4 linked regions of the Stegostoma tigrinum genome follow. Each later gene encodes a partner of the first gene's protein in a complex. Links are inferred from orthologs where the notes say so. Each region holds a gene or a part of one and is shown on either strand. Other genes may lie near its edges. The genes, in order: txnl4a, lsm4, smx5 and lsm3.

Region 1 (8,295 bases):
TCTCCAGGATGAAGATTTCCCATCAACTACCACCCTCTGTCTTCTTCCAGCAAGCCAATTTCCGATCCAAACTGCTATATCTCCCACAATTCCATTCCTCCACATTTTGTACAATAGCCTATTGTGGGGAACCTTATTGAACGCCTTGCTGAAATCCATATACACCACATCAACCGGTTTACTCTCATCTACCTGTTTGGTCACCTTCTCAAAGAACTCAATAAGGTTTGTGAGGCATGGCCTTCCCTTCACAAAACCATGCTGACTATCCCTAATCAATTTATTCTTTTCTAGATGATTATAAATCCTATCCCTTATAACCTTTTCCAACACTTTACCAACAACTGAGGTAAGGCTCACTGGTCTATAATTACCAGGGTTGTCTCTACTCCCCTTCTTGAACAGGGGAACCACATTTGCTATCCTCAACATGGGTTGGATGTTTTTGACAAGCGCTAGTATCATGTAGAAAGCATTTGGGTGCAGAAGTAAGACTTTCTTACTGCAATTGAACAGGGCCTTGCTGAGATCAGTCCTGGAGTATTGCATTCAGTTTTCGTCTGCCTATGTAAGAAAGAAGGTATTTGCCATAGACAGAGTGCAGCAAAGATTCACTATGTTGATACTGAGGATAGCAGGACTGTCCTTTGCGGTTAGATTGGTTCAACTGCGCTTGTAGTCACTAGAATTTAGAACAATGAGAGGTGATCTCCTTGATAAATGTAATACTTTACCAGGGCTTAACAGACTAGATGCAGGGAGAATGTTCTCTGTGATTGGAGAGTCCAGAATGAGGGATACAGTCTCAGAATGTGGGCTAGACCATTCAGGACTGAGGTGAGGAAAAGTTTTTTTTAACACTCCAAGGGTAGTGACTCTGTGAAATTTGCTATCACAGAAGACAATGCAGGCCAACTCACTGAATATATTGAAGAAAGAAATAGATATATTTTCAGAAATCAAATGCTCCAAGGGTTAGAAGGAGAGAGCAGCATTGAAACAGAGGATCAGCCATGATCCCAATGAATGGAGGTGCCGGCTCTAAGGATCCTGCTCATAGTTTCTTTGTTTCTATGAGACGCAACATCATTTATGAAAAAGTATTTCACAGGGCTAGTCAGAGGGGCCTAGAGGAGACTTCAATAGCCGGAGTTGACAGATTGGCAAATACCTTCCAGAGGGACAGTTGAAGTCTACATTGATGTTTAATTTACTCAATGTCTGCTCGTATATTCTCATCCCAGGAATCAGTCTGGTGAACCTTAATAGCACTTCGTATAGGAACAAGTGTGTCCTTCCGTACGTTCAACTTGCATGAGCGAAACTGCCAGAGCAGGCTCTATACACGAGTTTCCACTTCTGACAGAAGTTTCACAAACAAATGCAATCGTTTCATTTCTCCACGGAGATGGGCTTAGTTGCTGCGCTGCTCTTTAATGTTCAGTTTTCATGCTTATCATTGTCATCAACATTAGCATCTTCACATTAGGTACAGCTAAGACGTGCCTTCAAACATTTCAGTGATTTATTTACAAAAGGTAAGTATAGAACACAATAAATACATGAGAAACTGAAACAGTGCCGCTGTTAAAGGTCTCATAGCTTGGTATATAGCGCCATCTAATGTTTTCAATAAATATTTCACGACATTTACTGCTAAATTCATCTATGTTCATACATAAAAGGCACTCAACATTATTAAAACCGAAAAAATATTCACAGATTGAGGGATAGAGCAGTGAGACCTTCATTTTGTTATCAGGATTCTTACTAAACCAAAATTCCAGGTGCTGTCAGGAGGGATTTTTTTAAAGAATCGTTTATCTGGAAAAGATATGAACAGACAGTGGAAGCAGATTCAGTAGTAACTTTGGTATCAGAGATAATGGGAACTGCAGATGCTGGAGAATTCCAAGATAATAAAATGTGAGGCTGGATGAACACAGCAGGCCAAGCAGCATCTCAGGAGCTTTTGTGCTCCTGAGATGCTGCTTGGCCTGCTGTGTTCATCCAGCCTCACATTTTATTATCAGTAGTAACTTTGCAAGGACCACTTAGGTGCTTGAAAAGAAGAACATTTCAGAGCTACGATGAAAGAGCAGGGAGTGTATTGGTTGACTTTCAGGAAACTAGCACAAGTAGAAAGGTCCAAATGGCCTCCTCAGTGGCCTACAATTCTCTGATTCCATGATGAGGAAAAGGAAGAGGACAGCATTTATGACAATGTGGCAAAAATGTCGGATACAAAAGTGTAAATGGAACGTGGGTTCCAAATTAGATGGGATAAAAGGGCAAAAAGCTGAACTGAGATACTCAGGCTGTGGGAAAGCTGAAATATATATGGGTGATAATAAACATAGGGAGTTAAATAAAATGAAAATGGCAATGAATGGTGGATATGTGTTTCTCTGTGTGGTTAAGCCCTAAGCATTCTTGACTCCATTCTGATCAATTGCGATCTAACCTCCCCTCATAATGCCAATGTTATCTCCTAATATAAATAGTCCTCTTTTTGTGGATACAATTGCCCTCCATTTTAAAACTGTCAAAATCATATCCATCCTAAAAAAAAACTACTTTACTGTCCTTGGAAGCCACACTATCACCAATCTCTCTGCCTATCTCCAAATTTCTTGAACCTCCCAAATATGTGCCTATTTTCCGACAAATCTGTAGTTTTGGCTCTCAAATTAGATTTCTCCTGATCACAGCACAGAAATGGCCCTAATCTGTGAATGTGAATATCTTAGTCCTCCTCATTCATCTCAAACTGGTTTGTCGCTTTTATCTTCAGCTTATTGTTAATCACCCTCCACCATACACGTGCAAAAAAGTTAGCTTTTCCACCTTGGCATAATTACCTCTGTGCAGACACTGAGCCAGATGATCGTTGATCTAGGAATGGCAAAGCAAGGGCACCCATGACTGACCTCAAAGAGGAGTGCCAGTAAAAATCCAGAACTCAATTTAACAGTTCACATTGCTTTGGATAGTGCTGAGGCTCTTGAAATGCTGTTGGACCTGCAACCAACCAGGCAAGTGGGGAGTATTTCAGCATGCTGCTGACTTGTGCGTTGTAGATGGCTGGGAGGCTTTGAGGATTCAAGAGGTGAGTTACGTGCCACAGAATTCTCAGCCTCTCACCTAGTTGGTATTTATATGGCTGGTCACAAAGCCTCTCCTAAAGTAGATCAATTAAAAATTTTTAAACCAAATTTGACAGGCTTTTCTTAGAAGAGGGTACAAAGGGTTATGTAAATGGAGTTAATATATAAATTAGAATAAAATCGGGGTCAATTCCCATTTTGGGTGGGGTGGCTTCACAACCTGCTTTCTTGCTCTGCCTGGGGAGGGAGGAGGTGGGTGAGAGATTGCTGTGCTGTGGTCAGATCTGCTTTTGTATGGAGAACTTAAGGATAAGAATGTACGGATCAATCACAAAGTCATTTAATGATGGATTAGGTTCCTGAGGGTGAATAATCTCCTCCTGATACCATGTTTCCTGTACAATCAAGAGGAAACTGATCCTAACCATGCCAGATCTGTGCCACACATTAGCAGACTGCACTCTAACAAAATGGAGTAAACTAAATTATGAGCAAGCATATTTTTCTTTGAACCTTGGGCCACTGCAGATGGGCAAATTTATCATGCTCAGCAGAATTTCCTTTTGAATAAGAAAAACAGCAGTCCCTATGAATTTCTCTAACCCTAACCCAAACTCTAATTTCTTGTTCTGGATGAATCATGCCCTCAAATTAAAAGGATTGTTGCTATTAGTACCAACGTGAGATGAGTTACAATCTACAACATCTTCCATTGGGGTCTGCAAATTTGAATTAAAGCTAAGCACTTTAAAATAGGAACAAGTTCTACTGTGTTTTCTTACTTGGTGATGAACTGGAATGAGGTAGGATGGATAGTAGCACATAGTCATAGTAGATGAACCAGTTTCCCAGCATTCAAAGTTATATGTAAAGTCATTGCACAACTGAATAAATCACATTCAGAGGAATTTTGATTTTCATGAGAACCATGGAAAGAATTCTGATTGCAATTTAGTGAAGTTATTTTGTCCCAGGACATAGATGATTACCACCACAAATCCATTATTGTTTCACAAAAACACATACAAGTCTGGCATCCAGCTGTGTAAGTGAAAATGATGAAATGAAGGACCCATTAGCATTTTAACCGGTCATCGTATATCACTCAGCTTGAAAAAAACTGCTTCAAATTTTATTTTTCAGCAAGGTATCTAAAAATATTTGCCGATTAAAGGGAATCCAATCTATGACAATCATATTCAGCTACTTTGTCAACAATGCCCAAAACTAGAGGGCATAGGTTTAAGGTGAGAGGGAAAGGATTTAAAAGAAACCTAACGGGCAACTTTTTCATGCAGAGGGTGGTGTGTGTCAGCAATGAGCTGCCAGAGGAAGTGGTGGAGGTGGGTGCAATGATCACATTTAAAATGCCTCTGGATGACTTCATGAATAGAAAGAGTTTAGAAGGAGATAACAAAGTGTGGAGCTGGACGAACACAGCAGGCCAAGCAGCATCTTCGGAGCACAAAACCTAACATTTTGGGCCTAGAGAGTTTAGAAGGATATGGGCCAAACGCTTGCAAATGGGACTAGATTTATATAGGATATCTAGTCAGCATGGACTCTATCAATGTTGCCATCAGCCTTCCAGCATCATTACCTCTGAATCTGAGTGTTTGAACATCTTTCCAAATCCCTACACTGACATATGCAATACTGAGGCAGTGCTGCACTGTCTGAGACGCCATCATTTAGTTGAAACATCAACTCTTGCTTGGATGTAAAGGATTCGGTGCCATTATTTGAAAGAAGTGTTATCTCCCATATCCCAAACAATATTTATTCCCTGAGCTCATATTACAAAAGACAAATCGTCTGGACATTATGACGGGGCAGTGGGCTTGCCGTGTACAAACGCGCTGTTGCATCCCTTGCACTTGGCTGCCCTCCAGTGGTGACAAATTGCCAGTACATTGCTACAAGGTCCGCCACAATGCAACCTGTCACTTCACCGGCAGAGGGACACGGGGAAACATCGCGAGGCTTTCCCCATTGGCCCAGTGATCCCGCGCATGCGGCCCGTCCCCTTACCGGCGGTCGCCATCTTGGTTGTCAGAGGCCCTGCAGCCGGAGCTGGGGCCGGGGTGAGGCGCCCTTGCTCGGTGTCATTCCCGGGGATTGGTGTCTGAGGTGAGCCCGCCTAATACACACAAACACACTCGCTCCTGTTCAGTCGAGTATTTCCAGCGATACAGATGAGGCAGGTTTACTGTCTCTGACTATTCCCCCCCACATAACTCTCAGTCATTCAGATACACACCGGGGTTACTATTAAACACCATCAGTTAGCTCTCAGGGGGTTGGTTGTTTAAGAGTTTCTTTCACCTCCGCTGTCCGCCTGTCTTTTTTCCTGGTAAAGGAAGAGGCAATTACCCGCCATGGTTACTGAGTTGATTCAGGGCACTTTGTAAACTTCACTGTCACTCCTGGATCGCTGGAGGCCTTCTAACTCATTTAACTTTCTAATTAACCCGTTCAGAGGTGTCATCGCACGCCTTGTGGCACAGGGCCAGGGGAATTCTATCCGGTCCTCCAGGCCCAGAGGTTAGGGCCCTATAATAACCCCTGAAGGTGGGCTTTTAGAGTAAGAGAAATGACACCATTTCTCTTCCCCCTCCATCCTCCCCAATTAAATCAAAATAAAAGTGACCACTTGCCCTTCTCAAGAGGGACATTGCTGATTGTCACCACAAAACAAAGATCATTTTTAATCAACTTTGGTGTTTACATCCATCTCAACTGTCCAGCCCACTCCAGTTTCATTGATATCAGACACTGTAAGCAGCCCCTCAGAAACATGATCGAAAGCCATGAAAGTTTGCCAGGTGACAGGAATGAGTGCTGAGGAATCGCCCAAACTTAATTCGTGGAGATTTCTGTATTTTGTAACTTGTAGCCTCTGCAGAAATATGACCAAAGAATATGCAATATGATAGAGAATCAGTTGGTTACTGTTTGAAAACTTAAAAGTGGATTGTTGCTGTTTCATTCCTTGGAATTGGAACATGTGTTTTCAACGACAATGTTACGTTTTGTAAAATGCAGACTTCATAGCGATTCTAACCAATTTGATTAACATATAGCACGGAACAGTAAGGAGGTTATATTCTATAAGTATTATGTAGGTTATGAGTTATAAATGAACATGTATTTCCAATCCTTCAGAGGCTCCCTCACCCCGACATAAATGATTGCTGTACTCCTTTCTTCAGGTGTCTTGAGCATCCCAACATTGACTCCTCCAACAGCTTGTGACTGTGCCTTTGGCTGCCAAGGCCCTAAGCTCTGGAACGCCTTTCTTAAACCTCTCAGTCACTCTTCCACACACCTCCCTTCCTACTTTAAGACTTGCTTTGAAACTTGCCCTTTGAACAAGGTTTTGGGCCTAAGTACTAAAATCCCTCTTTATGTGGCTTGGTGGCAGACTTTATTTTGTCATATTTATGGGAAGTTTTACAGGGTCAAAAACAATCAAAATACAGGTTGTTAATTGCTTTACAACCGTCATGATTCTGTTTTTTAAAACCTCCAAAGGCCCAAGCTATTATTTATTTACGTCAGTCTGCCCGAGTCTTAAGAACTGTACTATTTCTGTGAGCACAGAGCTTTTATTCATAAGACTAACATTTTTCTTTCTAGTCTAGAAGTGGTTTAACTCATTTTTTTGGTTTTGTCATATAAAGGGGTAGTAGAAATAGTGCAACTCTTTGCCGCAATGTCGTATATGCTGCCACATCTCCACAATGGCTGGCAAGTAGACCAGGCCATCCTGTCAGAGGAGGATCGTGTCGTTGTCATTCGCTTTGGTCATGATTGGGATCCAACTTGTATGAAGATGGATGAGGTCTTGTATAGTATTGCTGAAAAGGTAAGCCTTCATAAACATCAGCAAGTGCACCCAGCGTTAGGTAAAGTTGTATTCGGTTAAATACAATGTTAGAACTATATAAATTTCTTCTATTCATTTGTGGGATATGGGCATTGCTATTCAGGCAGCATTTATTGCCCATCCCTAGTTTCCCTTGAAAAGGTGGTGTTAAGATGCCTTCTTGAACTGTTACAGTCTATGTGCTGTAGGTTGATGCACAATGCCCTTAGGGAGGGAATTCCAGTATTTTGGCCTAGAGACTGAAGGAACAGCAATATATTTTCTCATCAGGATGGTGAGTGGCTTGAAGGGAAATTTTGCAGAGCGTAGTGTTCCCATTTTTCTGCTGCCTTCGTCCTTCTAGAAGGAAGTGGTTGTGAGTTTGGAAGGTGCTGTCTGTGGATCTTTAGTGAATTTCCACAGTGCATCTTGTTGATAGTACATGCTGCCACTAAGTGTCGGTGGAGAGAATGGATATATGTTGATGTGCTGATCAAGTGGGCTGCTTTATCCTGAATGATAAAATGTTGCAGCTGCACCCATCCAGGCAAGTCAGGAGTTTTCTGTCACACTCCTGACTTGTGCCTTTTAGTTGATGGATAAGTTTTAGGAAGTCAGGAGGTGAGTTACTCATCACAGTATTCCTAGTCTCTGATGCTGTTGTAGCCACTGTCTTCATGCGCAAGTCCAGTTGAGTTTGTGTTCAGTGGTAACCCCCGGGATGTTGATTGTGGGGGATTCAGTGATGTAATAACATCTCTTATTGGAGATGGTCATTGCCTGGCATTTCTGTGGTGTTGAATACTACTAGCCACTTGTTAGCCCCAGCCTGGATATTGTCCAGATCTTGATGCATTTGAACATAGTTTGTTTCAATATCTGAGAAGTTGCAAATGGCGCTGAGCATGGTGCAATCATTGGCGAACATCCCTGTTTCAGACTTTATGATGGAGCGAAGGTCATTGTTGAAGCAGCTAAAGATGGTCAGACCGAGGACACTACTCTGAGCAAATCCTGCAGAGATGTCCTGGAGCCATAAACATTTTCCTATGTGCCTGTTTTGACTCCAACCAGCAGACAACTTGCCCCCAGATACCTACTAATTCAACTTTTGCTAGGGCTCCTTGATGCCACACTTTGTTAATATGGCCTTGAAGTCAAGAGCTGTCACCTCACCTCTAGAATTCTGTTCTTTTGTCCTTCTTGTGCCAAGTAATTAGGTCAGGTGCTGAGTGGCCCTGGCGGAGCCCAAACTGGACCAATCTGTGTGTTCTTTGTTCTTCACTCTGCACAACGTGATGGATTTCTTTCAAGGTACAT
Region 2 (7,178 bases), on another chromosome or scaffold:
TGTTCTAAATGGGACAGATTTCACACAGATCTAGCAACTCAGAATTGGGCAACCATGAGGTGCTGTGAGCCATCAACAACAAAGGAATTGCACTCCAGCACAATCTGTAACCTCATGGCCCGGCATATCCCCAGTCAACCATTACCAACAGGCCAGGGATCAACCCTGGCTCAATGGAGGGTGCAGGAGGACAGGCCAGGAGCAGCAGCAGGCATACCTGAAGATGAGGTATCGACCTGGTGAAGCCACCAAACAGGGCTACTTGCATGCCAAACAGTGAAAGCAGCAAGTGATGGATGGACCTAAGCAATCCCACAACCAACGGATCAGATCTAAGCTCTGCAGAGCTAGAAGTCCATCCCTGAGAGCATTATGGGTCAACCTACAGCAGGAGGACTGCAGCAGTTCAAGGCCACCTAGGAATGGGCAAGACATGCTGGCCAACCAGCGACACCCATATCCCGTAAATGAAGAGAAACAAAATGGTCCTCAGAATGAGGGACTTTCGTTTGTGGAGTAGAGAAGCAGAAAAGCTCAAGGAGATTAAATAGAGATGTTCATATTGGGTTTTGATGGAATAAATAAGGAGAAGTTGTTTCCAGTGCAGGAGGTTAGGCAACCAAAGGGTCACATTCAAAGTAATTGGCAAAAGAATCAGAGGGGAAGATGAGAACATTATTTTCGTTACAGTTGCAACATGGAATGTGCTTTTAAAAAGCTAGTGTAAACAGACTCCAACGTAATGTTTGTCACAGTACAAATAAATACCTGAAAATTAAAGATAACAAAGTGTGGAGCTGGATGAACACAGCAGGCCAAGCAGCATCTGAGGAGCATAAAAGCTGACGTTTCAGGCCTAGATCCTTCATCACCCTTTTCTGATGAAGGGTCTAGGCCCGAAACATCAGCTTTTGTGCTCCTGAGATGCTGCTTGGCCTGCTGTGTTCATCCAGCTCCACACTTTGTTAACCTGGATTCTCCAGCATCTGCAGTTCCCGTTATCTCTGGTCAGAAAATTAAATATTTGCAAGGCTGTGAGGCCTTGAACAATCTGGACAGCTCCTCAAAGACCTGGAAGTGCTATGATGGGCTGAATGGCCTCTATTTGTTCTGAGTTTCTACAGTTGGTGCTCCAGGACTTTTTACTACACCTGAAAGTGTGATATAATTGCAAGTTGTCATTGAGTAAGAATGTGGAGAAAAGCTTGTGCAATGCTCCCTAAGGTTTCATTGGCACCTGCCCTGAGCAAACAATCCTGGAAGGTACCACCTCTAGCAAGTGCCTTTGGGACAGGAAGAAAGCATTAATACAACATAGATATAGAAGGAACTGTCGATGCTGGAGAATCTGAGATAACACAGTGTGAAGCTGGATGAACACAGCAGGCCAAGCAGCATCAGAGGAGCAGGAAAGCTAATTCTGTTTTACTAACGTGTGTTTGGGAATTAAAGACTACCAACAAGTTGTATTTAGTATGTTTAATCACATGAAACACTTCAAGGCACTTAAATTTACAGGAGCAGTGTTGGGAAAATGATGGCCTTGTGGTATTAGCACTAGACTATTCATGCAGAAACTGAATGCTCTGAGAATCCAGGATCAAATCCCATGGTGAAATTTAAAATGCATTTTTAAAAAGTCTTAAATTAAGGGCCGACTGATGACTATGAAACCGTTGCCAATTCTTGGGCAAAAACCCACCTGGCTCGGTAATGCCTTTTAAGGAAAGAAACTGTCATCCTTTCCTGGTCTGGCTTATGTGTGGCCTTGGACCCAGAGCAATGTGGTTGACTCTGGGCAAACAGGGATGGGCAATAAATGCTGCCCTTCCAAGGTTGCCCTCATCCTGTGAGTGATTTTTAAAAACAAAAAATTATACTATCATATGTAGAAATATTTTAAGGCCGGATGACCTACAGCTTTTGGTCAGAGTTCCTTTTAACTCAAACACAAAACAAGGGCTGGGCCAGCATTTAAAGAGTAATTTAACGTGGGAGAGTGGTCAAGAGACAGGGAAGCATTTCCAGAGCTCACAGGTTAAACAAACAGCGATGGGATTATGTCAGAAATCACACAGCAGCAGGTTCTGGTGCAACAGGTTTATTTGAGCCTCAGTCCTTCAGACGTTAGTGAAAGAGGTAGCATCAAACACAGAATTTATAAGAGATCAAAGATCACACCACTGTTCAGGATCTATTAGACAAACCGCATGCTGCTAAATCTTCAATCAGTTCAGAGGGTTTATAATATGTACATATTATATATTTCCATATCAGTATACATACACAGACGAAATCTTTAGTCAGTTAGGTTTTAGCCGGGGGGGGGGGAAGCAGGGAGGAGGGGACCGGGGGGGAGGGGGGTGCGGGGGGGGGGAGGGGGGTGCGGGGGGGGGGAGGGGGGTGCGGGGGGGGGAGGGGGGTGCGGGGGGGTGGACAGGGGTGCGGGGGGGGGGAGAGGGGTGCGGGGGGGGGGAAGAGGGGTGCGGGGGGGGAAGAGGGGTGCGGGGGGGGAAGAGGGGTGCGGGGGGGGAGAGGGGTGCGGGGGGGAAGAGGGGTGCGGGGGGGGGAAGAGGGGTGCGGGGGGGGGAAGAGGGGTGCGGGGGGGGAAGAGGGATGCGGGGGGGCGAAGAGGGGTGCGGGGGGGTGAAGAGGGGTGCGGGGGGGTGAAGAGGGGAACGGGGGGAAGAGGGGTGCGGGGGGGGAAGAGGGGTGCAGGGGGGAAAGAGGGTTGCGGGGGGGAAAGAGGGTTGCGGGGGGGGGGAGGGGTGCGGGGGGGAAGAGGGGTGCGGGGGGGGAAGAGGGGTGCGGGGGGGAAAGAGGGTTGCGGGGGGAGGTGGAGCAGGGGGCAGGGTGAGGTGGAGCGGGGGGAGGGGGCAGGGGAGGGGAGGGAAGCAGGAGGGGAACGGGGGGAGAGGAGCCGGGGTGGGGAGGGGGGAGCGAGGGGAACGGGGAGGGGGAGCGGGGGGGGGAGAGGGGAGCGGGGGGGGAGAGGGGAGCGGGGGGGGGAGAGGGGAGCGGGGGGGGGGAAGAGGGGAGCGGGGGGGGCGGGGGGGGAGAGCAGTGGGAGCAGGGGGAGTGGGGAGAGTGGAGCGGGGGGAGCGAGGGGAAGCGGGGGGGGGCAGGGGGGGGCAGGGGGGGGAGCCGGGAGCTGGGGGAAGGGGAACAGGAGGTGAGCGGGGGGAGAGGGGAGCAGGGGGAGAGGGGAGTGGGGAGCGGAGGCAGAGGGGAGCGGCGGCAGAGGGGAGCGGCGCGGGGGGGGAAGGGGGGAGCGGAGAGTGGGGGGGAGGGGAGAGCGGGGGGGGAGGGGAGAGAAGGGGGGAGGGGAGAGAAGGGGGGAGGGGAGAGAAGGGGGGAGGGGAGAGAAGGGGGGAGGGGAGGGAGAGAAGGGGGGGAGGGAGGGGAGAGAAGGGGGGGAGGGAGGGGAGAGAAGGGGGGGAGGGAGGGGAGAGAAGGGGGGGAGGGGCGGGGGGGGGCAAGGGGGGAGGGGCGGGGGGGGGCAAGGGGGGAGGGGCGGGGGGGGCAAGGGGGGAGGGGCGGGGGGGGCAAGGGGGGAGGGGCGGGGGGGGCAAGGGGGGGAGGGGCGGGGGGGGCAAGGGGGGGAGGGGCGGGGGGGCAAGGGGGGAGGGGCGGGGGGGGCAAGGGGGGAGGGGCGGGGGGGGGCAAGGGGGGAGGGGCGGGTGTGGGAAAGAGGGAGCTGGTTGGAGGGGGACGGCGGCAGATGGAGCCCGCGGGGGGAGGGGAGGCGGGATGGGGGGTGTGAGGTGGGGACGGGATTCGGCGCCAAGTGCTGGGCTGTTCCTCCTACGAAGGCCCCACTTTACGCCAACTATTGCGACAGCAACCTCAGTACGGGGCGCCACCTCTGGTCGCTGCCATCTCTGATTGGCTGTGTCTGTGGCCGCGGCTGCTGATTGGGGAAGACAACCCGTCCATCAGGCTGGCGGGGCGGGGCTAGGCCGGAGCCGTAAGTTGGGTTGTCGCAGCCGCGGCGGGAGGAGCGGGAACCAGAGACGGAGACAGAATGGTGAGGGTGAGGGCCGCAGGCTGAGCCTGAACAGGCTGCAGCATTGGACGCTGAGGGGTGACCTTATGGAGGCTTATAAACCCGTGAGAGTCATGTGTAACAGAGAATAGCCAAGGTGTTTCTCCGGGGGGTTTAAGGTGAAAGGTTTAAAGGTCTCGAATGTCAGCTTTTTCACACTGAGTGGGGTCTGAGGAAGTGGAGGAGGCTGGTACAGCCATAACATTTAAAAGGCATCTGGATGGGTACATGAATAGGAAGGGTTTAGTAGATAATGGGCCAAATGGGACTAGATTAATTTAGGATATCTGGTCAGCGATAGGCAAGTTTGATCGAAGGTAAGAGATAACAAGGTGTGGAGCTGGAGGAACACAGCAGGCCAAGTAGCATCAGAGGAGCAGGAAAGTTGACGTTTCGGGCTGAGACCCTTCTTCAGAAATGGGGGAGGGGAAGGGGATTCAGAAATAAATAGGGAGAGAGGGAGGCGGATAGAAGATGGATGGGGGAGAAGATAGGTGCAAAGGAGGCAGACAGGTCAAAGAGGTGGGGATGGAGCAAGTAAAGGTGAGTGTAGGTGGGGAGGTAGGGAGGGGATAGGTCAGTCCACGGAGGGACGGACAGGTCAAGGAGGTGGGATGAGGTTAGTAGGTAGCTGGGGGTGCGGCTTGGGGTGGGAGGAAGGGATGGGTGAGAGGAAGAACCGGTTAGGGAGGCAGAGACAGGTTGGACTGGTTTTGGGATGCAGTGGGTGGGGGGAAGAGCTGGGCTGGTTGTGTGGTGCAGTGGGGGGAGGGGACGAACTGGGCTGGCTTTGGGATGCAGTGGGGGAAGGGGAGATTTTGAAACTGGTGAAGTCCACATTGATACCATTAGGCTGCAGGGTTCCCAGGCGGAATATGAGTTGCTGTTCCTGCAACCTTCGGGTGGAATCATTGTGGCACTGCAGGAGGTCCATGATGGACATGTCATCTAGAGAATGGGAGGGGGAGTGGAAATGGTTTGCGACTGGGAAGTGCAGGTGTTTAGTGTGAACCGAGCGGAGGTGTTCTGCAAAGTGGTCCCCAAGCCTCCTGTTTCTGTGCTATGTATCTCTGTGACTCTAACGGGGGTTGTGGGGAAAAATGATTGAACGTGTCGTTATAGAGACATATGGGGGGGGGCGCGGTGGAGAAGGATGGTTGGTGAGGGAGGAGAGAATGAATCAGTCGGGAGAGCAGGTGAGAGGAGAGAAGATGTTGATGTTGAGCTTGGTGGGGTGGTGTGCTGTGTGGGTCTTAATTATACCGATATACCAGGACATTGTCGGGGAATGAGGGAAAGGGGCAATTGGGCAGGAATGTGAGAATGTGAAGAATATCCCTGACTCCCAGCCTCCCTTTGGTGTGGGGTGAAAGGAGGGAACCCATGTGCTGCTGCTTTTGTAATCTGAGCGCTGTTGATGGATTTCCCACTCTGAGACCTGTACAGTCAGTCCTAATTCTATCCCTTTCCAGCTTTAATCCTGGAGGCAAGGGTCGTGCTGATTGTAGCTGTACTTCCCCACCCATTTTAAAAGAGCTTTTGTTTTTAGTTTTTATATTTAGTTGTAACTCTTACGTTCTGATTTATAGTGGGGATGTTATCCACATTAGCAGTAATTGTTTTGACAAATTAAACTTTCTTCTCAGATTTAATCAAATGTTTTTCTTCTTTATTTCAGCTGCCCCTTTCATTACTTAAGACGGCACAGAATCATCCAATGGTAAGAGAGGCTGAGAGAATGCCTGCATTTTGCTCCATGATTGGTCCAGGCAGGGCTCCCACTTTGGCACATGGACTGTTTGAGCTCCTCAGTGATTCAAGCCTACACTTGTCGCTCCCTCAGCCAGCAGTCGTTTTTTTCCACCTGAGTGTTTGACAACTTGTGTTATTTTTAAAGAGTAAGTTAGCAATCATGGCAAGTAATTTTTATACTGAAATGCCTTAAACCCCCAGTCTCTGCCTGAGTGCTACTTCTCAGCTTTAATATAACTGAACAAGGGGACAAGTGTATGCTGTGGAGTCTGTCCCAGTATTCTATATTTGGCTAATTGTCGCCTTTGGACAGGTTTCATACATGTTTTTAGTGCCTCCCAGACAAGGGCCTTTGAACAGTCCCCTTAAATGTTTACACTTCTCAAAGTTAAGAAATATTCTGCCTTGACTTTTGTCTACCAAAGTGAATAGCTTAAATTATTGACATTATGTTCCAGCTGACACGTTCCACCCTGTGCACATAGCCTGTCCAAGTCCTCACGAAGCCTGTTTGCATTTCCACCTAATTTGGTGTAACGAGCAAATTTGGAAATATTACATCCAAATTACTTGTACAGACTATGAACAGTGTGGTCTTAGCACAGTACCCCAGTAACAACAGCCTCCCATCCTGAGATTTTTTCTGTTCACCAATTGTCAGATAATGAGGCAGTACATTTAATCATCAGTGACTTTAATGTTCATGTAGATTGGGAGAATCAAGTTGGCAAAGTGACAAAAAAACTTCATGATGTATTTGAAATTGAATCCACTTCTTCTTAGAAGCTAGCGGGGATCAGGCTTCTTCGGATCTGGTAATGTGAGTTGAGGCAGCATTAATAAATTAGCCCACAATAAAAGATACCTCCAGGAACAGTGATCGTAAAGCATTCAGTTTGGGTGCGAGAAATTTGTATCAGAAATGACTGTACTGAACTTGGGGGTAATTATATTAGAATGAGGACAGAGTTGGCTGGAGTGGTTTGGGAAAGAAGTTTAGCAGCAAAGGTGTTTGAAGAACAATGGCAGACATCTGAGAAGATAGTTCCTGGCTTTCAGCAAAGGTACTTAACCAGTAAAGGAGGAGGATTCCTGAAAGGGGTGTTATGAAGTTTTAGTAGAGTAATCGTGAGGTGGAAGGAAGGAAGCTAAAATATATTGTTCCTTGTGGTATATGATACAGTATAAGTGATTGTGGTGATGTTGTGTCTTCCTGCTGAGGCCTGTACCAGAGGTAATGGCGGATTATGCTTTTCGGATATCCATTTCTTTTGAAGGCACTGTATAGGTGCTTGTATTATACTTCGCGTTTTTCCATAGATCAAGGACATTTCAGAGATGACCACAAGAATACTCAGACCGCTAGGTATCAGAGTAGCCT
Region 3 (8,215 bases), on another chromosome or scaffold:
GAGGGAACTGGAATAAATAGGGAGAGAGGGGGAGGCGGACCGAAGATGGAGAGTAAAGAAGATAGGTGGAGAGAGTGTAGGTGGGGAGGTAGGGAGGGGATAGGTCAGTCCAGGGAAGACGGACAGGTCAAGGAGGTGGGATGAGGTTAGTAGGTAGCTGGGGGTGCGGCTTGGGGTGGGAGGAAGGGATGGGTGAGAGGAAGAACCGGTTAGGAAGGCAGAGACAGGTTGGACTGGTTTTGGGATGTAGTGGGTGGGGGGGGGGGAAGAGCTGGGCTGGTTGTGTGGTGCAGTGGGGGGAGGGGATGAACTGGGCTGGTTTAGGGATGCAGTGGGGGAAGGGGAGATTTTGAAACTGGTGAAGTCCACATTGATACCATATGGCTGCAGGGTTCCCAGGCGGAATATGAGTTGCTGTTCCTGCAACCTTCGGGTGGCATCATTGTGGCAGTGCAGGAGGCCCATGATGGACATGTCATCAAGAGAATGGGAGGGGGAGTGGAAATGGTTTGCGACTGGGAGGTGCAGTTGTTTGACATTCCACATTAAGCAGAGGTTCACCTGCACATCTGCCAATGTGGTATACTGCATCCACTGTACCCGGTGTGGCTTCCTCTACATTGGGGAAACCAAGCGGAGGCTTGGGGACCGCTTTGCAGAACACCTCCGCTCGGTTCGCAACAAACAACTGCACCTCCCAGTCGCAAACCATTTCCACTCCCCCTCCCATTCTCTTGATGACATGTCCATCATGGGCCTCCTGCACTGCCACAATGATGCCACCCGAAGGTTGCAGGAACAGCAACTCATATTCCGCCTGGGAACCCTGCAGCCATATGGTATCAATGTGGACTTCACCAGTTTCAAAATCTCCCCTTCCCCCACTGCAGCCCTAAACCAGCCCAGTTCATCCCCTCCCCCCACTGCACCACACAACCAGCCCAGCTCTTCCCCCCCACCCACTACATCCCAAAACCAGTCCAACCTGTCTCTGCCTCCCTAACCGGTTCTTCCTCTCACCCATCCCTTCCTCCCACCCCAAGCCGCACCCCCATCTACCTACTAACCTCATCCCACCTCCTTGACCTGTCCGTCTTCCCTGGACTGACCTATCCCCTCCCTACCTCCCCACCTACACTCTCTCCACCTATCTTCTTTACTCTCCATCTTCGGTCCGCCTCCCCCTCTCTCCCTATTTATTCCAGTTCCCTCCCCCCATCCCCCTCTCTGATGAAGGGTCTAGGCCCGAAACGTCAGCTTTTGTGCTCCTGAGATGCTGCTTGGCCTGCTGTGTTCATCCAGCCTCACATTTTATTATCTTGTTCACTAATATGCTGTGTTTCCTGTCCATGCTGCCATTGTCCCTTTTAGTTTATGGGTTGCAACTTGGCATGTAATCTTGCTATTTGTCCCTTTGTCAAATGCTGTCTGGAAGTTTATGAACACCACATCCACAGTAACACCCTCATCAACCCACTTTCTGACCTTATTTAAAAAGAAACAGATTAATTGACATTTCACCATTAACAAGATCATGCTGATTTTCCCTAACTTATCCAAGTTAATAATATGTCCCATATTATTATTATAAAGTAAGTGTAAGTGTATCTGTGGAATTCTTTGCTGTAGAAAGTTGTCAAGGCTGTATCATTAAATGTATTCAAAGAACAATACAGCACAGGAGCAGGCCCTTTGGCCCTCTAAGCCTGTGCCAACACATTTTGCCCTTCCTCACTAAAGACGTCTTCACTTACAGGATCTATATCCCTTTATTTTCTTCCCATTCATGAATCTGTCCAGGTGTTTCTTGAATGCTGCGATTGTATCTGCTTCCAACAACTCCTCTGGCGACATGTTCCAGGAACTCAACACCCTTTGTGTGAAAAAGTTGGTTTGCACGTCTCTTTTAAACTTCCCCCATCGCCCCTTGAACCTGTGTCCCTAGTAATTGACCCCCTCCACCCTGGGAACAAGGCCCACACTTTCCACTCTACCCCTGCCATTCACAATCTTATAAGCTTCTATCAGGTCACCATCCAACCGCCTGCATTCCAGTGAAAACAATCTTAATCTATCAAATTGTTGTTCATTGCTAAAATCCCCCATATCAGGCAACATCCTGGTAAATCTTTTCGGTACCTTTTCCAAAGCATCCATATCCTTCCGGTGGCGTGGTGAACATAAATGTACACAATACTCCAAGTGTGGTCTTTAAAGTTCAATAAAGCTGCAACATAACTTGCCCATCTTTGTACTTAATGCCCTTTCCAATGAAGGCAAACATGCCAAAGGCCTTTATTATTACCTTAGCTACCTGCCCTGCCACCTTCAGTGATCTGTTGATGTGCACACCCAGATCCCTCTGCATACCAATTCCTGAACCTAAAGGTTCTGCCGTTCATTGTATAATTTCTACCTGTATTTGACCTTCCAAAGAGCATCGCCTCACATTTTGCCCAGATAAAATTTTTCTGCCCATGCCTCCAAATGATTTATATCCTGACGTATCCTCTGATGATCCTTCTCACTATCCACAACTCCACCAATCTTTGTATTGTCTGCAAAGTTATTAATTGGATCAGCTATTTGCATAGACCACAACTAGCAGAGGACTCAGAACTGATCGTTGAACACCACTAGTCACAATCCTCCATTCCAAAAAGCATCCCTCCACCGTTTCCTTCTGTCTCCTATGATTGAGGCAGTTCTGCATCCACCTTGCCAGCCCACCCTGATACTATCTGACTTCACCTTTTGTACCAATCTGCCACAAGGGACCTTGTCAAAGGCTTTACTGAAATCCACACGGACAACATCAAACGCTCTTTCCCCATCAATCATCTTTATCACCTCCTAAAAACACTTGATCAAGTTAGTGAAGCACGACCTCCCTGCAAAACCATGCTGTCTATCGTTAATAAGTCCATTTGCTTCAAAACGCATTTATATTTTGGCTCTGAGACTTTTCCACTAATTTCCCTACCACTGATGTAAGACTCATAGCCTGTAATTTCCAGGATTATCCCTGTTACCTTTCTTAAATAATGGCACAACATTGGCTATTCTTCAGTCCCCTGCGACCTCAACTGTGCCCAAAGATGTCCTTCAATGCTTTAGCAATTTTTTCCCTGGCCTCCCTCAAGGCTGAGATAGACAGGATTTAGTCAGTAAGGGAAAGAAGGGTTATGGGAGAAAGGTAGATAAGTAGTTGAGGCTTATCAGATCAACCATGATTGAATTGAATGATGGAGCACCTTGATGGGTCAAATGGTGTAATTTTACTCCTGCATCTTAATGGGTAAGCCTTGCAACTTTGCTCTCACGTCACCCTTTTTCATGATGAGGATTGGGCCTCATTACTGAATACTGATGTTGACTTCCTGCTTAATAAACTCTCCTTTATCTCCCTAAAACATGCCTGCTGAATCTGAATCCTCATTTACGTCTGTTGTTGGTACCTATATGAACTATGATCTCCAGCTGATCAACCCCCATTTCACCATGTTTGCAACTGCCTAGTGACATCCTGCATCCTTACAAAAGAAAGGCACTCTGACATCCTGGAGTAACATCTGTGGGTGAAAGAAAACATTCTATTCTCTGAACTAAGACGCTTCCACCACTATCACACATCCTGTCTTCTTCTTTCCCTTGACAACTGAGTCACATATGATGCCGTGACCTGTCTCACTGTACTTTCCAGGAAATGTATCACTTCAGCAGTATTCTGAATGAAATCCTGGTCAGGCATGAACACAGAACTGCACAGCACAGGAATGGGCCCTTCAGCCCACTATGTTGTGCCAAAAAGGACACCAAATGAAACTAATCCCTTCCTGCCCTTGAAAAATATCCCACCATTCCTTGCATATTCATGGGCTTATCTAAAAATCCTATTGCCTCTATTGTATCTGCCTTCACCACCACCACACCTGGCAGTACATTCCACCCCAGTGCAAGATAAACAGATGTGGGATTGACGATGACGAGGAAGAGTGAGAGTAGAAGATGACGACAAGATGGAAGGTTTATGATAGGCTGGAAGGCAGCAGAAATCAAATGAAGAAAAGGATGATGGTACATGGGGTACGCTAAAATTGGGGTGACAATTAGGTGTGAAAATGCCAAAGGTGTGTGGTGAAAGGATATAAATCAGCATCAAATGGCATTTAAAAAAAGATTTTTAAAGTTACAAAATGGAGTCAAAAGCTATGATCAGAAATTTCTGTGTGATCTTACAAACTGCCTTATTGAAAGATGAGATAGTAAGAACAGTCAATGCTGGTGTCAGAGGCAGTAAAGGAGTAGGAAAGTTGATGTTTCAGGTCAGGACCCTTCTTCAGAAATCCAGAAATTCTGAAGAAGCATCCTTACCCTAAAAAAAATCAACTTTCCTACTCCTCTGATGCTGCCTGGCCTGCTGTGTTCCTCCAGCTCCACACTGCGTTACAATGAAAAGGTAAGTTGCCTAATCTTCAGTTTGCATTCAGCCTCACAGGGAAGGTGCATTTCATCTCTTCAACCATCTCACAGGCATTCTCTCTTGTTCTTTCCTCTAATCTCCTCTTGCTCTGCCCCTGTACTTGCAGCAAAGTTGTTGCATCTCTAGCTTTATCCAGTACTGGATGAAGAGTCATCAGCCTGAATGATTAGCTTTGTTTCACTCATTGAGTCATGAAAGGACAGGAGGTGGCCATTCCATCCATTTAATCCACGTTAGCTCTAGTACAGCAGCCTTATCAATCTTGTTACTCTGGTCTATCCCAGCATCCCTGCTGGTGTATTTCTCTCAAGTGTTCACAGAACTTTTGAGTCAAACTCATGCAGCATGGAAACCGACCCTTTGGCCAATTACAGGGCGACCAGGTTTCCTAAACTGAACTCTACCTACCTGCACTTGGACAATATCCCTCCTAACCACGTACCCGTCCAAACGTCTTCTAAATGTTGTCATTGTAACTGTATTCGCCTCCAGCAGCTCAAACAACATGTACACCACCCTCTGCGCGGGAACGTAGCCCCTCGAATCCCTTTTAAATCTTTCCCCTCTCGCCTTAAGCCCAATGTGCAGCCGGATGAATACTTCCAGCCGCTTGGCAGGCTGGTAGCACGTCAATCAAACGAAAAGGCGGGAACACAGGTGACACAGTGGGCAGGGATCGGCGGAATTCTCGCGATATCGGGCGGTCCGTCCGCGCGCAGGCGCCGCGGGTTTGAACCGGTTTGACTGGGAGCTGCCGTCATTGTCGGTGCCATGGTGAGTGAGAGAGGGTCTGAGAGAGACCGGGCCCGGGGGGGAGAGAGAGTCTCACAGGGACCGGGCCCGGGGAGGGAGAGAGAGTCTCACAGGGACCGGGCCCGGGGAGGGAGAGAGAGTCTCACAGGGACCGGGCCCGGGGGGGAGAGAGAGTCTCACAGGGACCGGGCCCGGGGTGGGGTGGTGAGGGAGAGTCTTACAGGGACCGGGCCGGGGGGGTTGAGGGAGAGAGTCTCACAGGGACAGGGACCAGGCCGGGGGGCAAGAGTGAGTGAGTGAGGAGGTAGGAAGTGGAGGGATAGGGACGGAGATAGAGTGTGAGTGACTGTCTCACAGAGACCAGACCGGGGGACGGAGTAGAGAAGCAGGTTGAAAGACCCTACGGTAGGCTATTGCATAAAATGCGGAGGCATGTGATTGAGGGTGATTTAGCGGTTTGGATCAGAAGTTGGCTAGTTGAAAGAAGACAGAGGGTGGTAGTTGATGGGAAGTGTTCATCCTGGAGACTAGTTACTAGTGGTGTACCGCAAGGATCTGTTTTGGGGCCACTGCTGTTTGTAATTTTTATAAATGACCTGGATGAGAGCATAGAAGGATGGGTTAGTAAATTTGCAGATGACACTAAAGTCGGTGGAGTTATGGAGAGTGTGGAAGGATGTGGTGGGTTACAGAGGGACATTAGATAAGCTGCAGAGATGAGCTGAGAGGTGGCAAATGGAGTTTAATATGAAAAAGTGTGAGGTGATTCACTTTGGAAGGAGCAACAGGAATCCAGAGTACTGGGCTAATAGTAAGATTCTTGGTAGTGTGGATGAGCAGAGAGATCCTTGTGTCCATGTACATCGATCCCTGAAAGTTGCCACCCAGGTTGATAGGGTTGTTAAGAAGGTGTACGGTGTGTTAAGTTTTATTGGTAGAGGGATTGAGTTTCGGAGCCATGAGGTCATGTTGCACGTGTACAAAACTCTGCGGCTGCACGTGGAGTATTGCTTACAGTCCTAGTCGCTGCATTATAGGAAGGATGTGGAAGCGTTGGAAAGGGTGCAGAGGATATTTACCAGGATGTTGCCTGGTATGGAGGGAAGGCCTTATGAGGAAAGGCTGAGAGACTTGACGCTGTTTTCATTAGACAGAAGAAGGTTAAGAGGTAACCTAATAGAGACATACGAGATGATCAGAGGATTAGATAGGGTAGACAGTGAGAGCCTTTTTCCTCAGATAGTGATGGCTAACATGAGGGGACATAGCTTTAAATTGAGGGGTAATAGATATAGGACAGATATAGAGGTAGGTTCTTTACTCAGAGTAGTAAGAGCGTGGAATGCCCTGCCTGCAACAGTTGTAGACTTGCCTAAGTTTAAGGGCATTTAAATGGTCATTGGATAAGCATATGGATAATAATGGAATAGTGTAGGTTAGATGGGCTTCAGTTTGGTTTCACAGGTTGGCGTGACATTGAGGGCCGAAGGGCCTGTACTGCGCTGTAGTGTTCTATGTTCTGTGTTCTAGACAGAGCCCTATAGTGATGGTGAGGGGTGGGGGGTGAGAGGGGGAGGGGGGGGAGAGAGAGAGAGAGAGAGAGAGAGACTGTGTGTGTCTCATTGGGTGAGTAGGAGAGAAGGATGGAAGGAAGAGTGGAGAGTTTCACAGATTGGGGGAGGGAAGGAGAGACACAGAGGAAAGGGGGAGGGGAGGGAGAGAGATAGTAAGGAGGCAAGAGAGAGCGCGAAGAGAGAGATTGGGTAAAGGAGAAGGGTGGTGGCTGTGCTGGTCATTCCCACATTCCATTTAAAGAATTTTTAAAAAGCAACTTAATGTCATAACCATTTGACTCAGTCAAGCGCAGGAAGTTGTTGAGCTTTGCCATAGAACATAGAAAAGTACAGCACAGTACAGGCCCTTCAGCCCACGATGTTGTGCCGTGGAATAATCTTAATCCAAAAATAAAATAACCTAACCTACATTCCCCTCAATTCACTGCTGTCCATGTGCATGTCCAGCAGTCACTTAAATGTCACTAATGATTCTGCTTCCACGACTACCACTGGTAAAGTATTCCATGCGCTCACAGCTCTCTGGGTGAAGAACCTCCCTCTGACGTCTCCTCTGTACCTTCCTCCTAACACCTTAAAACTATGACCCCTCGTGGCATTCAATCCTGCCCTGGGGAAAAGTCTCTGGCTATCGACTCTATCCATGCCTCTCATTACCTTGTACACCTCGATCAGGTCACCTCTCTTCCTCCTTCTCTCCAGAGAGAAAAGTCCAAGCTCAGTCAACCTCTCCTCATGACAAGCCCTCCAGTCCAGGCAGCATCCTGGTAAACCTCCTTTGCACCCTCTCCAAAGCCTCCACATCTTTCCTATAATAGGGCAACCAGAACTGGACACAATATTCCAAGTGTGGTCTCACCAGGGTTCTGTAGAGCTGCAGCATAACCTCGTGGCTCTTAAACTCGATCCCCTTGTTAATGAAAGCCAAAACACCATATGCTTTCTTAACAACCTTATCCACTTGGGTGGCAACTTTGAGGGAGCTATGCACTTGAACACCAAGATCCCGCTGTTCCTCCACACTGCCGAGAATCCTGCCTTTAATCCTAAATTCAGCATTTAAGTTCGACCTTCCAAAATGCATCACTTCGCATTTATCCAGGTTGAACTCCATCTGCCATTTCTCAGCCCAGCTCTGCGTTCTGTCAATGTCTCACTGAAGCTAGCAATAGCCCTCGATACTATCAACGGCACCTCCAACCTTTGTCATCAGCAAACATACTAACCCACCCCTCAACCTCCTCATCCAAGTCATTTATAAAAAGTACAAAGAGCAGAAGCCCAAGAACAGAGCTCTGCGGGACACCATTCAGCACTGACCTCCAGGCAGAATACTTACCATCTACAACCACTCCCTGCCTCCTGTCAGCCAAATCACCCTGTATCCCATACCTCCTGACTTTAT
Region 4 (7,865 bases), on another chromosome or scaffold:
CTTTTGCAATTTCCATCCTTACTTTCTCAGTCGTCTTAAGCACATCTGATTGGGTCTCAGTGTCCAAAGAATTTTAAGTAGACTCAGTCCTTCTAGTAGCTCACCTTTCTCAATTTTTAGTCCATACAGAATCTCCACTTTAAGCGAAATACTGCAAATGCTGGAAATCTGAAACAAACACAGAAATTGCTGGAAAAACTCAACAGGTCTGGCAGCATCTGTATAAAGATAAACAAATTTAACGTTGAGTCCAGTATGACTCTTCTTTGGAAAAACATTACTTACATTTCTCTCTCAACAAACACTACCAGATCTGGGGAGTTTCTCCAGCACGCACTGTTTCTTTCTGAATCTCAACTCCCTCCTCTTTCACTTTGACTTGTACAGCATCTGCTTCCTCAGTAATGACAAATGTAAAATATTCATTTAATATCTCCACCATGCTCTTGCTTCCATGTGTAAATTTTATTTTGGTCCATAACTGGCCCCATTCCTCCATGTACCATCCTGTCAGTATTTATAAATTTATGTAAAACTTTTAGATTCCCTTTTATATTAGCTATCAGCCTCCTTTTTTACCTCGCCTGTGAACTTTTTATATTAAACCTGTTTCTTACTTGTATCATCATTCTGATATAAATCACATGTTCCTTTTCTGTTCCAGCTCAGATATAACATCCAGGAAACACTGGACTGGTTATTCTACCTCTCCCCCTCCTGAGAATATAACCTTGACTGTACTAAAGCTGAGATAACAAAGTGTGGAGCTGGATGAACACAGCAGGCCAAGCAGCATCTCAGGAGCACAAAAGCTGATGTTTTCTTTAAAGGCAGTTCTTCCACAACTGTTTTGCCTGCCAACCTTCAATTCCAATTTACCTGAGCTAGATCCTTTCCCAACTCACTGAAATTTTATGAAAGGAGGACTCTGTAAAATTCATTTATGGGATGTGGCCGTCGCTGGCTTGACCAGCATTTAATCGGCCGTCCTAAATGCCCTTGAGATTGTGGTGATGAGCTACCTTCTGAAACTGTTGTAGCTCGTGTGCTGTAGTAGGCGCTCAATGCTTATGTGGGACAGAATTCCAGGATTTTGACTCAGTGATACTGGAGGAGCAGTGATATGCTTCTAAGTCTTGATGATGAGTGGCTTGGAGGGAACTTAGACCATAAGACATAGGAGTGGAAGTAAGGCCGTTCGGCCCATCAAGTCCACTCCGCCATTTAAATCATGGCTGATGGGCATTTCAACTCCACTTCACTGCACTCTCCCCGTAGCCCTTGATTCCTTCTGAGATCAAGAATTTGTCAATCTCTGCCTTGAAGGCATCCAACGTCCCGGCCTCCACTGCACTCTGCGGCAATGAATTCCACAAGCCCACCACACTCTGGCTGAAGAAATGTCATCTCGTTTCAGTTTTAAATTTACCCCACCTAATTTTAAGGCTGTGTCCAACTTGGAGATGCAGCATTTAGGGGTCACTGATTGTCGTATCATTAGTTTTTACACGGTCTGGTCTCTCTGGAGGCTCAATGTTGGCATGGACTTGGTAAACAGACTATGATTCCAGTACTTTTTACAAAAACTTCTTTATTTTAGGCTGAATGTATTTATGCCAGTGACAGAGTAAAGAGAGTTACCAATTAACTATCTCTACTCTGTCGCTGACATAAATTGAATTGAATTGGTTTTATTGTCACGGGCATGTGACTGAGTGAAGTGAAAACTTTGTATTGTCACCACTTTGGCACCACCTTATGTTAGAGGAACCTAGGTACAGTTACATAAGTACGTGTTACAGACCTGAAAGAATAATAAAATGTCAGTTCATTTACATGAAAGAGTAAATAAGGTTTTTTTCAAAAACGTACTTGAATTATAGTTTTTCCACCAAGTCCGTGCCAACGCTGAGCCTCCAGAGCGCCTGGGCCACGTAAAAACTGACGATACGACAATCACTGTCCCCTAAATGCTGCATCTCCACCAGCAATTTCCCCTCCAAACCACTTATCATCAGACTTAGAAAATATTGCTGCTCCGCCAGAGTCACTGAGTCAAAATCCAAGGAATTCCATCCCAATTAAGCATCGAGACTCTACCTACAGCACGTGGGCTACAACGGTTCTAGAAGGTAGCTCATCACCACAATCACAAGGGCATTTACAATGGGTAATAAATGCTGGTCTAGCCAGCAACAATCACATCCCAAAAATGAATTTTACAAAGCCCTCCTTCAATAAAATTAGATGCACCTCATTCCCCAGAATTGAATCCATCAATGCCTTCTCCTTTGGTCTGAAATCAGACTGATACAGAACATCTGAGATAATGGGAACTGCAGATGCTGGAGAATCCAAGATAATAAAATGTGAGGCTGGATGAACACAGCAGGCCCAGCAGCATCTCAGGAGCACAAAAGCTTTTCTGATGAAGGGTCTAGGCCCGAAACGTCAACTTTTGTGCTCCTGAGATGCTGCTGGGCCTGCTGTGTTCATCCAGCTCCACACTTTGAAACAGAACATCTTCCCCCTTTCTAAGCTTCTAAAAGTGTTGTTCAGATTTGTACTTGTCAGTCACACATTGTAGCCATGGGCTCCACTTACTCTTGTCATTGCCATGGAAAAGGGTAATGCTCTCTTCCAAACTCCCCTGTCAGGCAGAAAATACTGAAGTTGAAAGCACACACCAACAGGTTCAAGAACAGCTTCTTCCCTGATGTTATCAGACTGCTGAGTGGACCTCTCAAGCCTCCAATAATGTTGGTGTTGCTTTTGTGCACCTTCTAATGTGGCTGTGACCTCCTGTGCCTCATAGAACATAGAACATTACAGCACAGTACAGGCCCTTCGGCCCTCGATGTTGTGCCGACCTGTCATACCGATCTCAAGCCCATCTAACCTACACTATTCCATGTACATCCATATGCTTGTCCAATGACGACTTAAATGTACTTAAAGTTGGCGAATCTACTACCGTTTCAGGCAAAGCATTCCATTCCCTTACTACTCTCTGAGTAAAGAAACTACCTGTGACATCTGTCCTATATCTTTGACCCCTCAATTTAAAGCTATGCCCCCTCGTGCTCGCTGTCATCACCCTAGGAAAAAGGCTCTCGCTCTGTCTAAGCAGCTTGTGATTTTTATATCTTTGTTTGCTATGATCTGCCTGTACCACATGCAAAACAAAACATTTCACTGTAATTAGGTACGTGACTATAATGAATCAAAGATAGCCTCCAAAGGTCTAGGCCCAAAACATCAGCTTTTGTGCTCCTAAGATGCTGCTTGGCCTGCTGTGTTCATCCAGCTTCAGTTTGTTACCATAGTCTCCAAATAGATCTCTTGTTGTTTGTAATCAAACTGCCTGGAGATGTAATGGCATCCTCCAGGACAGGTGGGACTTGAACATGGATCAAGAACCATTATCCCCCTCTTTCTATCCTTTGGAACATTACTACCTCTGTCTATATTTGAATGATTTAAAAAAAACATTATCTCTGGGCCATAATTTTCTACACCAATTCAATCTTCTACTATGATAAAACAAAGAATGGCATTTGCTGAAAATCTGAAACAACAGGAATTGCTGGAGAAATGTAGGGGGTCTGGCAGCATGTGTGGAGAGGAGGCAGAGTTAACATTTGGAGTCCGTGTTCTGAAGAAGGATCACTGGACTTGAAACGTTAACTCTGCTTTCTCTGCACAGATGCTGACAGACCTGCTGAGTTTCACCAGCAATTTCAATCTCCTACCACCTTGAGGCCATGAAAAGTGCTGTATAAATATAGCCCCTTTCTCAGGAGGTGTGGACTCGTTGGGCCGAAGGGCCTGTTTCCACGCTGTAGGGAATCTCATCTAATCAAGAGGTGCCAAAGCAACCACAGCTAACGATTATGAGGCCTCCAGTTCTGAGGAAGGGTCAGCGGACCCTAAACTCTGCTTTCTCCTTCACGGGCGCTGCCAGGCCTGCTGAGCTCTTCCAGCAACTTCTGCTTTCAGCTGCTGGAAAAGCTCAGCACCTGCAGCTCTTTTGGTTTTGTTCTTGATGATCATGACTCCTGCGGTGGATGGTAAAGGTCTGAACGATGGCAGAGGCTGATTGCATTGCATTTGGTTAAAAGTGTTTGTAAATTAGTCACTGCATGAAGAGGAAAAGCAACTTGAGGCATAGTTACCAGGAGGCAGCTGCTTTGCACACTTCACTGGGCCCTCTCTGACAGGTTTAGTTCTGCTGCAGTCCTTCTTCAATCTTTTGCAGGTAGCCTGGGTTGAGCTTTGGGTTTTTGACCCTTTCCTTTTGGCCATGTTCGCGCCTCCTGTAACTTGAGGAAAGGTGCAGTCAATCTCAGATGCTCTCCAGCCGCCTGTTATAAAACAGGGTTATACAACAGCAGCTTCCCCCGGAAGAAGGGGGCGGGGGGAGGTTAGAAAAGGAGGCGGAGAGATGTGCCCAGAGCTGGGCACTGATCCCCACTCTCACCTTCCCGCCGCACCGCGCACGCGCCAGTCACCCGCTCCTCCTCCTCCTCCCGGCCGCTGCGGGGCGCGGCAGCGGGAGGACCCGCTCCCCGCCGCTACCACAACGCGGTCAGCACGCATGCGCAGGTTGCAGTCACCCGGATTCAAACCATGGCGGAGGAGGGAGACCAGGTAAAAAAAACCCGGGATGGGGAATGTGAATGAGTGAGAGAAAAGAAAGAAAGAAGGAGTGAGTAAGTAGTAGGAGGAGGAGGAAGAAGGAAGGCAGGAAGGGGCGAAAAGAGAGGGAGGGTGTGAGTGTGAATAAATGAGAGAGTGAAAGGGAGAGGAGGGGGGAGGGAGAGTGTGGGGAGGGGGGAGGGAGAGTGTGGGGAGGGAGAGTGTGGGGAGGGAGAGTGTGGGGAGGGGGGAGGGAGAGTGGGGGGGGAGAGGAGGGGGAGTGAGGGGGGGAGTGGGTGAGGGGGGGGAGGAGTGGGTGAGGGGGGGGAGGAGTGGGTGAGGGGGGGGAGGAGTGGGTGAGGGGGGGGGAGAGTGTGGGGGGAGAGGAGGGGGAGGGAGAGTGAGGGGGGGTGTGAGGAGGGGGAGGGAGAGTGAGGGGGGGTGTGAGGAGGGGGAGGGAGAGTGAGGGGGGGTGTGAGGGGGGGGAGTGGGTGAGGGGGGGTGTGAGGGGGGGGAGTGGAGTGGGTGAGGGGGGGTGTGAGGGGGGGGAGTGGAGTGGGTGAGGGGGGGTGTGAGGGGAGGGAGTGGAGTGGGTGAGGGGGGGTGTGAGGGGGGGGAGTGGAGTGGGTGAGGGGGGGTGTGAGGGGGGGGAGTGGAGTGGGTGAGGGGGGGGAGTGGAGTGGGTGAGGGGGGGGAGTGGAGTGGGTGAGGGGGGGTGTGAGGGGGGGGAGTGGAGTGGGTGAGGGGGGGTGTGAGGGGGGGGAGTGGAGTGGGTGAGGGGGGGTGTGAGGGGGGGGAGTGGAGTGGGTGAGGGGGGGTGTGAGGGGGGGGAGTGGAGTGGGTGAGGGGGGGTGTGAGGGGGGGTGGAGTGGGTGAGTGGGGGTGGGGGGGGAGTGGGGGAGGGAGTGGGTGAGGGGGGGGGGAGTGTGGGGGAGGTGGGCATTTAGAACAGCTCAAGATAATTGGAAAGAGCAACCTTGGTTTTGTAACATGGAAATGAGTAGGGGGGTAGAGAGAAGGGGTGAGTGAGAGTGTGGGAGGGAGAGAGGACAGAGTGGAGAGAGAGAGTGTTGGGAGAGGAGAGAGTGGGAAAGAGCGAGAATGCGGGAGGACAAGGGAAGGGGAAATAGGGGTAGAAAGGGAAATGGCTGGGGAGATTGTGGGAGACAAGAGCCAGTAGAGAGGGTTTGGGGACAAGGGTGTTAGGTAGTGGATTGTGATTGAGAGAGAAGGGCAGGGGAGAGAGCGTGTAGGGGGAGGTGTGGGTGGAATGGGGGGACAAAATAGGAAGGGGAGAGGTCAGCGAAGTGGTTGGGGGGGGAAACAACGTGTGGGGTGAGAAGGGCGATTAGGAAGAGATCAAGGAGGGTGAGGAGATATAGGAGGTGAAAGGGCTCAGGAGAGTGAGGTGGGGATGGGGTGAGAGTAGGTGAGATACAGTAATTGTAGGGAACAGGAAGTAGGAGAGAGAGCAGGGGAAGGGAGACAGAGTGTGAGTCCTGCCCATTGTCTGAGGACAGTATTGATGGGATAGAGGTAGGTGAAAGACAGGGGGGAACAAGGCTGGCATACATTTGGGGAATTGGGTGTTGCGATATGGCAGGCAAGGCTGTTACATGCAAGGCATTGAGCAGTTTGATAGAGCTATGAGCACTCAAGATCCTGGGTTCATATGGACTTTACCCTAGAATCTTAAAACATTGGTAACGAAGTTAGTGGATGTATTGCTTTCAATTTTCTGAAATTCACTTGATTCTGAAAAGGTTCCATTAAATTGGAAAATAGCAAATATTAACCCCTCTATCCCAGAAAGGAGGGAGACAGGAAACTCGGCTTCGTGTTCTTTCATGGAAGGTGTTACGAGTTGATCATTAAGGAGGTTATAACTGGGCGTTTAGAAAAGCTCAAGATAATTGGAAAGAGCAAGCTTGGTTTTTTAAAATGGAAATCATGTTTAACAAATCTATCGAAGGTTTTAGGAATTAACAAGCTGTGGATGAAGTGGGGCTCATCGATGTACTAGACTTGGATATCCAGAAGGCAGTTTGATAAAGTTCCACAGAAAAGGAGAGCTCATGGCGTAGATAGTAAAATACTAGCACAAGGACAGAGTTGGCAGGTAGAAAAGAGTTTGCAGATTTTTTAACCAACTTGTTCGGCATATTATGACACAAATGCAGTAAGGCCTAGATAGTATCCAGGCTTGAACTGAAAAGTGGCAAGTAACATTCGCACCACACAAACGCAAGGCAATGACCATCTCCTATAAAAGAGAATCTAAACATTGCCAAAGCCCCCAAACATCATGAGGCATCGCTGAATTCTCTATTATAAACAGTCTGGGGATTACCATTACCGGAAACTCCATTAGATTTGCAAAATTAATACAGTTGTGGCACATTGGTACTGTCTGTACCTCTGGCACTGGGTTCAAGTACCACCTGCTCCAGAGGTGTGTAATGCCATCTCAGGTTGATAAGAAAATATATATGAATACATTGGCTATAAGGCAGGTCAGAGGCGAGGAATATGGCAGTGAGTAACTCGCCTCCTGACTTCTAAAAGCCTGTCCACTATCTGCAAGATCTACCATGTACTGTACTGTTTGGAGTGTGTTGGAATACTCCCCACTTGTTCGGATGAGTGCAGTTCAAACAACACTCGAGAAGCTCAACACCATCAAAGCATACCACTTGATTGGCACTCCATCCACCACTGACGCAACAGTGTGTACTTTCTACAAGATGCATTGCAGGTATTCATTGAAGATATTAAACGTAATCTTTCAAACCGATCACCTCTTAAGGACAAGGGCAGCAGATATGTGGGAACACCACTCCTGTAAGTTTCCCTCCAAGCCACTCACCTTCCTGATTTGAAATTTTTTGCTGTTCCTTCACTGTCACTGATTCAATATCTCGGGATCTCCCTTCATAATGGTGTTGCGAGTGTACCAACAGTGCGTGGAGAGATTTAAGAAGGCAACTTACTACCACTACCTCAACAGCAACTAGGGATAGGCAATAAATGCTGGCTTAGGCAGCGATGCTCATGTCCACTAGTGAATTTAAAAAAGAATCTCTTGAGCAGGTGAGATGTGAATCTGGTCCTTCTGGCCCTGAGTTAAGGACATTACCACATGGCGATAAGTGCCCTTAGAAAGTATAGATAAATAGGACTTTTACTGACTGGTAGGATGTGATGAAGATTAACGTTCCACAGTGATC

Evidence for each region.
Region 2: txnl4a (region 1) and lsm4 share a complex: the UniProt entries of both Homo sapiens proteins name them as parts of the precatalytic spliceosome. The link is inferred for Stegostoma tigrinum from reciprocal best matches to the Homo sapiens genes TXNL4A and LSM4.
Region 3: txnl4a (region 1) and smx5 share a complex: the UniProt entries of both Homo sapiens proteins name them as parts of the precatalytic spliceosome. The link is inferred for Stegostoma tigrinum from reciprocal best matches to the Homo sapiens genes TXNL4A and LSM2.
Region 4: txnl4a (region 1) and lsm3 share a complex: the UniProt entries of both Homo sapiens proteins name them as parts of the precatalytic spliceosome. The link is inferred for Stegostoma tigrinum from reciprocal best matches to the Homo sapiens genes TXNL4A and LSM3.

The regions. Positions count from the first base shown.
Region 1 is NC_081358.1:44,277,933-44,286,227, reverse strand, and holds the start of txnl4a (thioredoxin-like protein 4A), read left to right. Parts: upstream 1-5,127; 5' UTR 5,128-5,237; intron 5,238-6,790; 5' UTR 6,791-6,822; coding exon 6,823-6,975; intron 6,976-8,295. UniProt on the Homo sapiens protein: Plays a role in pre-mRNA splicing as component of the U5 snRNP and U4/U6-U5 tri-snRNP complexes that are involved in spliceosome assembly, and as component of the precatalytic spliceosome (spliceosome B complex).
Region 2 is NC_081383.1:1,023,295-1,030,472, forward strand, and holds the start of lsm4 (U6 snRNA-associated Sm-like protein LSm4), read left to right. Parts: upstream 1-4,014; 5' UTR 4,015-4,024; coding exon of another isoform or gene 4,025-4,027; 5' UTR 4,028-4,092; coding exon 4,093-4,110; exon of another isoform or gene 4,111-4,142; intron 4,143-5,723; coding exon 5,724-5,765; intron 5,766-7,178. UniProt on the Homo sapiens protein: Plays a role in pre-mRNA splicing as component of the U4/U6-U5 tri-snRNP complex that is involved in spliceosome assembly, and as component of the precatalytic spliceosome (spliceosome B complex).
Region 3 is NC_081387.1:26,628,144-26,636,358, forward strand, and holds the start of smx5 (smx5), read left to right. Parts: upstream 1-5,155; 5' UTR 5,156-5,254; coding exon 5,255-5,257; intron 5,258-8,215. UniProt on the Homo sapiens protein: Plays a role in pre-mRNA splicing as component of the U4/U6-U5 tri-snRNP complex that is involved in spliceosome assembly, and as component of the precatalytic spliceosome (spliceosome B complex).
Region 4 is NC_081364.1:2,889,148-2,897,012, forward strand, and holds the start of lsm3 (snRNA-associated Sm-like protein LSm3), read left to right. Parts: upstream 1-4,548; 5' UTR 4,549-4,629; coding exon 4,630-4,650; intron 4,651-7,865. UniProt on the Homo sapiens protein: Plays a role in pre-mRNA splicing as component of the U4/U6-U5 tri-snRNP complex that is involved in spliceosome assembly, and as component of the precatalytic spliceosome (spliceosome B complex).